Linked DNA regions of Sus scrofa. The protein of the gene in region 2 purifies or fractionates together with the protein of the main gene of each other region. This does not show direct contact. Links are inferred from orthologs where the notes say so. Each region holds a gene or a part of one and is shown on either strand. Other genes may lie near its edges.

Evidence for each region. The genes of interacting proteins can lie anywhere in the genome.
Region 1: the proteins of EYA2 (region 2) and ACAD9 purify together in Homo sapiens (affinity purification with mass spectrometry; 3 studies listed by BioGRID and IntAct, with this or other methods). This does not show direct contact. The link is inferred for Sus scrofa from reciprocal best matches to the Homo sapiens genes EYA2 and ACAD9.

The regions. Positions count from the first base shown.
Region 1 is NC_010455.5:71,409,040-71,413,055, reverse strand, and holds part of ACAD9 (acyl-CoA dehydrogenase family member 9, mitochondrial), read right to left. Parts: intron 3,350-4,016; coding exon 3,175-3,349; intron 2,482-3,174; coding exon 2,393-2,481; intron 1-2,392. UniProt on the Homo sapiens protein: As part of the MCIA complex, primarily participates in the assembly of the mitochondrial complex I and therefore plays a role in oxidative phosphorylation.
Region 2 is NC_010459.5:48,929,099-48,933,813, reverse strand, and holds the start of EYA2 (eyes absent homolog 2), read right to left. Parts: upstream 3,133-4,715; 5' UTR 3,019-3,132; coding exon 2,966-3,018; intron 1-2,965. UniProt on the Homo sapiens protein: Functions both as protein phosphatase and as transcriptional coactivator for SIX1, and probably also for SIX2, SIX4 and SIX5.

The sequences.
Region 1 (4,016 bases), on a different chromosome or scaffold from region 2:
TCCTCTCCACAGCCCCACTGCACGCCTCTGTGCCTGATGAGCCTCTAATGGTCCAGAGCAAGTACTCACTTTACCCTTCGTGGGCATCAACATTCACTGGGCCTAGGGTCGTCCTGCCTGTGACATGTGGGACCACCCCAGCTCACAGCACTTTTTGGTACCAAGACCAACTGCAGGCAATCTCACTCAGCATAAAAAAGAGCTTTGATTTAATAGGCTCCCTTTTGCCTATTCAAACAATCACTTCATCTAACGCAATGGAAAAAAATTCTTCATGCAGTGTTCGCAAAGATGGAGATAAGACTTCACACATAGGAGTTCCCGATGTGGCTCAGTGGTTAACAAATCCAACTAGGAACTGTGAGGTTGTGGGTTCAATCCCTGCCCTTGCTCAGTGGGTTGAGGATCCGGCGTTGCAGTGAGCTGTGGTGTAGGTCGCAGACGCGGCTCGGATCCCGCGTTGCTGTGGCTCTGGCGTAGGCCAGCGGCTACAGCTCCAATTCGATCCCTAGCCTGGGAACCTCCATATGCCGCGGGAGTGGCCCAAGAAATGGCAAAAAGACAAAAAAAAAAAAAAAAAAACAAAAAACAACTTCACACATAGCCGGTGGGGGAGCAGGCAGAGCAGGCACCGGTCCAGCTGTCTGGCAGGCAGGGGGCAACATGGACCAAGAACTTAAAAAAATGTCCACGCCCTCTGACCCTGGTAACTTGACTGGTGGTGTTTAAACTCAGGAAATGAAGAGACAAGTATGTGAGATGTGTATAAGGACACATGACACACGATGTGGTCCTGAGTGGGGAAGAAGTGGAAACAGTGCTAAATGTTTGATCCCGGGACCCAGGGATGTAAACATGGCGTGACCACATGAGGAAAGACTGTGTGGCTCTGAACGCCAGTAAGTCACACTCCCTAGTCAGAGCCTGCCAGGAAGACCTGCTAAGTGACAAATGCAGGCTACACACACACACACACACACACGCGCGCGCGCACATTTCAATGATGTAAACTCTCTAAAAAGATCTAGGAAGACAAGCACTAAAGATGTGAAGATCAGGCGGGGGGCTTTTCAGGGACCCCATGTCCTTTCCTGGGTGTGACATCCGGACACGACACACCTCGTGTGCCTCCCCCTCTCCCACCCTTTACTCCATGCTCCCAGAACCCTGACTGATGGCCCTTCACTGATTCTTATATGGCCAGGAGGCCAGGGAGGGTCTGCTTTGATCCCTGTTCACAGCTAAGGTGGGGGCGGCTCCCGAGGTGAATACTCTAACCCAGGCCACCCAGTACATGAGGGCAGGGCAGCAGTAGAGACACAAACAGCCCAACTTAAAGAGGGACAAAGGATTTGGAAAAACATTTCTCCAGAGGAATAAACATTCAACAGGCATGTGAAAAGATGCTCAACATGACTAATCATCAGGAAAATGCTATGCATACCACAGGGAGATACCACTTCACACCCAATAGGTTGGCTATGACTTTGAAAATGGGCAATAATGAGTGCTGGCAAGGATGCGGACAAACGGAACCCTGACACACTGCTGGTGGAAAGTGAAATGGGGCAGCCGCTGAGGAAGAATTTGGTGGTTCCTCAAAAAGCCGAACATATACTGTATGACCCTGCATTCCTGTTCACACAAAATCATGCTCACGGATGTTCACAGCAGCATTATTCATACAGGCCAAAAAGTGAAAGAACCCAAATGTCCACCAACCAATGATGGAGGAACGAGACATGGTGCAGCCATTCGAGGGAATGGTACTCAGCCCTAAGAAGGAGAGACAGCTGCCAGAGATTGGATACTCCTTGAAAACATGATGCTACGGGACGGAGCCCACCCATGGATTCCAGCCAAAGGAAACATTCAAAACCAGCAGATCCACAGACACAGAAAGTAAAATAGCGACTGCCAAAGGCTGGGGAGGAGAAACGAGAAGGCATGGCACTTGCTTCGGGGGCGATGGGAAGTTTGGAATCAGACACAGAGATGGCTGCATAATACAGTGAACAGACCACCAAACTGTTCGAGTGAAAATGGTAAACTTTGTTATGAGAATCACCTGTCAGTTAAAAAAATATTAAATCTAAATCTAAGAAAAAACGTCAGGGCAGGGAGTCAAGCCCCAGGACAGTGCAGTCTGCGCTCCTGGGGCCCTGGGCTGCTCCTCACTCGCTGGGGGAGGAAATGACCTCTGCACCAGGCAGATGAGGCCTCAGGTGGAGGAGACCCAGTGCGCCCACACCCACCCCTCCCTGGAAAGACCTGTCTGCATCCTGCTGGCCTTCCAACCAGGTGCTACACACTGTCACCTAGTGGGGAGGGGACAGGAAGCTGGGGCCTGCAATTGCACACAGGATGGCACACCACCCGCAGGGCCACGCACCTTAAAGCCGCCGCCAACTTCTCCGAGGACATTTTCCACGGGCACCCGGGTGTTCTCGAAGTGGACCTCGCAGGCTGGAACACACGAAACTGGGACCTCACCCTGGTACTGGTCACTGGTCACTGGGAGCACGGGGTACCCCGCCCTTGGCCAGCAAGCAGGTGGCGCAGTCTAGGCACTTGCTGGTTCAGACCCTCCAAGGTCTGAGCTTGAAGACCCAAGCAGCAGTCTCCTGAGGCTGAGTGGCAGCAGTGGACAGGACAAGGGCCCCTGATGGACCCTGGCCTCAACTGGGAGTGCTGCAGGTCGGTCTCAGCAGGAGAGTGAGGACAGAAGGAGGTGTCGGGAAGGGCAGGCGGGGCTCTGCAGTTAGCAATGCTTCCCTCAGAAACCCCACCACTGCCTCAACACCGTCCCCGCCCGAGTGTGGGGATGCATGTCTGTGCCCACTGCACTGAGTTATTCCACAGGGCTCCCTTGCACTGCTGTGGAGGGGCCCCAAGGCAGCCCAGACCTGATTCTGCCAATGTGCTTGGGTGGAACCCCAACTATTTCAGTCTCATTTTATCTTGAGATCTGAGATATTGGTGTTTCTCTGTTTTGTTTTGTTTGCCACACCCGTGGCATGTAGAAGTTCCCAGGCCAGGGAATTGAACTTGCACTACGGCAATGTCAACACCAGATACTTAACCTGCTGGGCCTCCTCTGACAGCTTTTTATCAAGATAAAAATCTCATTCTCTGCCTCTCCTTCTCTCACATGTACACACGCCTGATACTTACTGTTGGAGCCTCGGATGCCTAGCTTATCCTCTGGTTTCCCGCTGGTGACTCCACCAAAGTCCCTCTCTACTATGAATGCTGTGATCTTGTCCTTTACTGAGCCGTCGGAGTCAACAACCTCGGTCTTCGCAAACACAGTAAAAACACTGGCCAGCCCCCCATTGGTGATCCAGACCTGAGGAAAGAAAGCAAGAGGGCTCCAGAGAGAACCAAACTACTAGGTGCCACCTCAGGGCGCCAGCTCTCGGTCACACCACAGGCCAGGCTGACGGTGGGAGAGAGGCAGCAAGGAGCCAGAAGGGGGGGAGGTGGAGGAGGGGGAGGGGAGAGGGACTTCTCCACAAACTGCTCCGTACAGAACTTATCTAGACCCTAAGTCAAGCACACTGAAAAACAAACAGGTATGAGACAGTAGGGAATTCTGAATGCCAGGTGGTAAGAAATCAGAATCATTTTTTAAATGTACAGTAGTTGCAGAGATGGGGCCACTGTGACCCATCACGATGCCATGCAGAGGTGGCGATGTAACAGAGGACACACTGTGCCAGGAGACAGGGGATGGAAGTTCAGGACTGAACTTTTACATGTTTCAAATTCCAAAAAAAAGTGAACGAAAACAAAAAACAAAACAAAACAAAGAAAAACAATCAGAGTTCCCACCGTGGCTTAAGGGTAAAGAACACAACTAGTATTCAGGAGGATGTGGGTTTGATCCCTGGCCTCAGTCAGTGGGTCAAGGATCCAGCGTTGCTGTGTGGTATAGGTCGCAGACGTGGCTCAGATCTGGCATTGCTGTGGCTGTGGCATAGGCCGCCAGCTGCAGCTCCAATATGACCCCTACC
Region 2 (4,715 bases):
ACAGCTCACGGCAACGCCAGATCCTTAACCCACTGAGCGAGGCCAGGGATCGAACCCGAAACCTCATGGTTCCTAGTCGGATTCGTTAACCACTGCGCCACAACAGGAACTCCAAGAAGAAGCACTTTTTTAAAACTCGCGGGGCACGGTGTGGCCCTTAGTAGCAGCAACTTCTTTCAGCTGAGGAGTGAAATCACTTGAGGAATCATAGCAAAGAGCATGATGACCAGAGGGCCACTTCATCCTGGAAAAGCCTCTCTAGCTTGTTCTATCAATTGGAGGTGCACACATCGCCTGAAGGGGTTTCACGGGAAAACCTGAGTACCAAATGGCTTCAAGAGGGTTGTTTCCAAGGTCTAATCTTGAGAAGCGATGCTTCTGGCCTCTCTCCTTACCCTCTGCAAAGCTGTTAATGCAACAAGTGTGAAGGCAATGCCGAATCTCCTTCCTCAAATCCTGCAGTGGCTTCTCACCGCCCTTAGAATCAAGGCAAACTCTAAGGTGGTTCACACACCCTAGGGACCTGGCCTCCCAGAGTCGTCTCTCACACTGCAAGCTCTGATGCAGCACCAACTGTCCTGGACGTTCCCCAGTTCCTCCAAAGCATCATAGGTTCTCTTTGGTTTTCATAGCCTCTGCCTGGAATTCTCGCCCAGAATCAGTTATTTTTTGCTGACCCAGCATAATGCCCTCTTCTGGTAATGGCATCTCAATCTCCTTGGGAACCCACCCTCCCTCAGATCTGTCTGCATAATTTGGATAGATGTGATCATACTAGGGAGGTGGAATAGGACCCATGCCTGGCCAGACTGGAGTCAACCTTAAGACTTTTGCTGGCAATGTCATGAGGTACCGTTCTACTGGGGTTTTGGAGACAGAACGACAGCCTGGAGTGCCTCGGGGACATCTTTGCCACCATTCGAGAAACCTGCTTGAACATGAAGCCACACAGAGGAATACAGATCTAAGAGACAGAGACAGTTTCCTAATGCTATCATTTAAGCACCTGGAACCAGCCATACCTGAAGTCAGCTACTCTGGGAATTTGCACTTACATGAGCCAATGTGTTCCCCTGTTGCTTAAGGCAACTTGGGCTAAGTTTCTGTCAACTGCGACTAGAGAGTTTCTCAAGAACACACTTTCCCTTTTCTTTGGTTAACTCTTGTCCATCCTTCAGGTATCAACTTAGAGGTTTCCCTGTTCCTCCAGTCTAGATTTTGTTTCTCCTCTGTCCATCCATAGAACCCTGTATTTTCCACATATTAACATTCACATCACTGCACTGTAGTTTCTTATTGGCTCATTTGATTCCCTCCCTAGACTCTGGGCCACAAGCATGAGTCTTCCTGTGGTATTCACCAGTGTGTCCAGCTCTGTGCCTAGTATACATTAGGCTGTTAGTCATTTTTGTTGATCAGATAAATTATTTATCTAATAGAAATCACTGAACTTGTACCTAGGAGTCTCTATCAATTTGGAGAGATTGAGTCAATGCCTGAACCCCTGTACTGAGAATTCTGAGACTGAATTCAGATTCATCAAAGAAAAAAAAATGCTGTGATCAGTCAGTACTGCCTGTCATGGGTCTGGGAATGTAGAGTTGCAATATCCATGCCACATGCTCACCATCTTTGGCTTATATTATCACTGAATTATTGCTCTTTGTTCTCAATCTGTTCTTTGAGTGAACATCTTGTCTCTTCAATTAGATTGTAACCTCTACGTCTTTTGTTTGGGGTTTTTTTCCAGGTATACAGAAGGTATGCAGAAGTTCCCAAGCCTGGGATCAAACCTGTGCCATGAGCCACAGCAGTGACAACGCCAGATCATTAACCTGCTGAGCCACCAAGGAAGTCCAGATTGTAACCTCTTGGAAGGCGTGGATCAAATCTTTGGCCTTTCAAGTGTTACTGATCTCTCTGGATCATACTTAGAATTGCTCAGTAAATATGAGGCAGATCTACATCCTTTCAAAGTGACAATTTGGAGACTCCACAACTGTAACTGTCCAACCACCTCACCATCTCTCCATGGTCTAGTGAGGGCCCTGGTCCTCAGGTCTCCGGATCAGACTAAGATTTATAGATAGCACTGGCTTTCCTGGGTCTCCTGTAGATCGTGGGACTTCTCAGCTTCCATTAACTGCATGAGCCAGCTGCACATAATAGAGCTCCTCCCTTCCCCCCTCACGGCATATCTCCTACTGGTTCTGCTTCTCTAGAGAATTCTGATTAAGACAATACTGGTGCTATTTCACGGCATTTAGGAACACAAGCTATCCTACCAATCAAAGGCTGCAGTAATTCCTAAGAATGAAATAAACACGAGCTTCAAGCATTCCTCAGAATGAAATCAGTGAGTAAATTGGACGAATGAGATGGACTGTCAACTCCACGTGCCCACTCTCTTCGCCACTGCAGGGGCAGAAAGTGGCACATTTCTCAGCCCCCCCACCCCCATCCCTCCTTGTTAGCAGGCTTCCTATAGGTTCTACCGACAGGAGGCCATTGTTGAGTTCATGGAAGGTGGGAGAAGGAAGAGGCCATTTTCCCAGCTCCTCTCGCAGGTGACACTGGCAGCACCACCAGCAGTGGTGGTGGCAGAGTGACATGTGGCTTCTGACCCTGCCCAGGCAGCTCGTTCCCATCAGCAGCAGACTCGGAGGCACCAAGCCTGTAGATTCTGATAACCTCACACCTCCGTCTTGTTCCTCCAGCCCTTCCAACACCTTACTAATCAATTCCTTGTATTAAATTCCCTCCGTGAAATATGAGTTTGGATACTCAGTGATAAAATGAACCGGAGTAATACACACTTGGGCGGTTATCTAACCCAGCCCAGGATCCTGTTCTCAGGGAACAGCCTCCAAAGACCCGTGGAAGGCGTCCCCCAAGGCCAAGTGTTTGGTTACCATGTGACCCCACCCCCCACCCCCATGCTGCTCATTGACCATTGTTAACTCACCTGATAAAAGTGGGGTGGTCAGATTGTTCTCCAGGGAATAGAACATGTGACATTCAATCACTGAGTGGTCTCCGCTCTTGCTCAAATTTAAAACAGTCCACGTGTACAGTTCAGCAAGTCTCACCTGGAGTGGTATGGTCCTCCAGGGCAATGCCTGGAGACCTTTTTGGTTGTCACGACTTGGGGATACTACTGCCATCTAGTGGGTGGAGGCCAGGGATGCTGCTAAACATTCTGCAATGCACAAGACAGCCTCCACCTGGGAGAATGATCTGGCCCCCAGTGTCGTAGTAAGGATACAGAGACTGGAGGTTTGGAGATGGCTATGCTTGCCCACATGCTTGCTAGGGAAGGAAAAAATAGCTGCAAGCAAAAGAGGAAACAAGGCAGATGCATCCAGGTGATGGATATATGGGGAAATGTATTTTCTAAATAACTAGTTCCTCACGAGTCCTCTTCCATGGAAAGAAATGTACTCATCTATTTTTTGGTTAAAACGTTGTCCAGTGGGAATGAATGAACCACAGCTGCATGAAAAAAATGGATAATTCTGAGCCATAAAATGTCACTTTTGAAAAGCCAGTCCCTGTAAATTACAGACAATACAAGATTATTTTTATAAAGCTCTCACACAAGCAGAATTTTTGCAAATGTTGCTTAGGGAAACTTACATATTTGATAAAACTGGAAGAAAAAGCTGAAAGGTAAACACAAAATTGAGAACGAGGTCCCCTTGGGACAGGGTGGAGGGAGGCAGGGTGATGGGAGAAAGAAAGTACAGAGTCAATGGTTCTAGTCATATTTTGAGGGTTAAGTTGGGTGCTGGCTTCATAGGTTTTGAGTTTATTATTATGCTTTATAATGTATATTTTTTTTTCACAGGTCAAATAATATAGGGACCATCGAACTCTGGCCCACTGGCCAAATCTGCCTGTGGCCTATTTTTGTAAGATCTTCTTGTGTTTGGAAATGGTTTCAAATATTTCATGACACTTGAAAATTACATGAAATTCAAATTTAAGTGTCCATAAAGTCCATTTGTTTACAAATGCCTAAGGCTGTCTTCTTAATAACGGAATTCATGATGGACACTGTAAAGCTTGGAAAACTTAAAATATTTATTCTCTGGCCCTTTATAGAAAAAGTTTGCTGACCCCTTAAATAGTACCTTAAAGAAGAAAAAATGTTTAAAAACTCTCATAAAAAGAATCTAGGAGTTCCCATCATGGCTCAGCAGAAATGAATCTGACTAGTAACCATGAGGACACAGGTTCAATCCCTGGCCTCACTCAGTGGGTTAAAGATCCAGCATTGCCCTGAGTTGTCACAGCTCAGATCTGGCGTTGCTATGGGTGTGGCATAGGCCGGCAGCTACAGCTCCAATTCAACCACTAGCCTGGGAACCTCCCTATGCGGCAGGTATGGCCCTAAAAAGACAAAAGAAAAAAAAAAAAGAATCTATCTAATCTAGTGATTTAAATACCTCCTCTAGGCAACACTCAGCCATTGGGTTAATCAGGTCCCCTGTTTCTGTGTCTGCTCTGCCAAGATGATTTTCAGGTACTTGGGGGCAGGGTGAGCACAGGTGGTCTGAGTGGCCTGCCAGGCCTCATCCTTACTACATAGGATCCAGGAATAGCAGGGGAAAGAAAGCAAAAAGCCAAGGCTGCCCTTGGCCTCATCCAAGTTCACTTTCAATGTAACATTCCTGGGTGTAGACAGATCAGCCAGAGAGCCAGAGGACATTCAG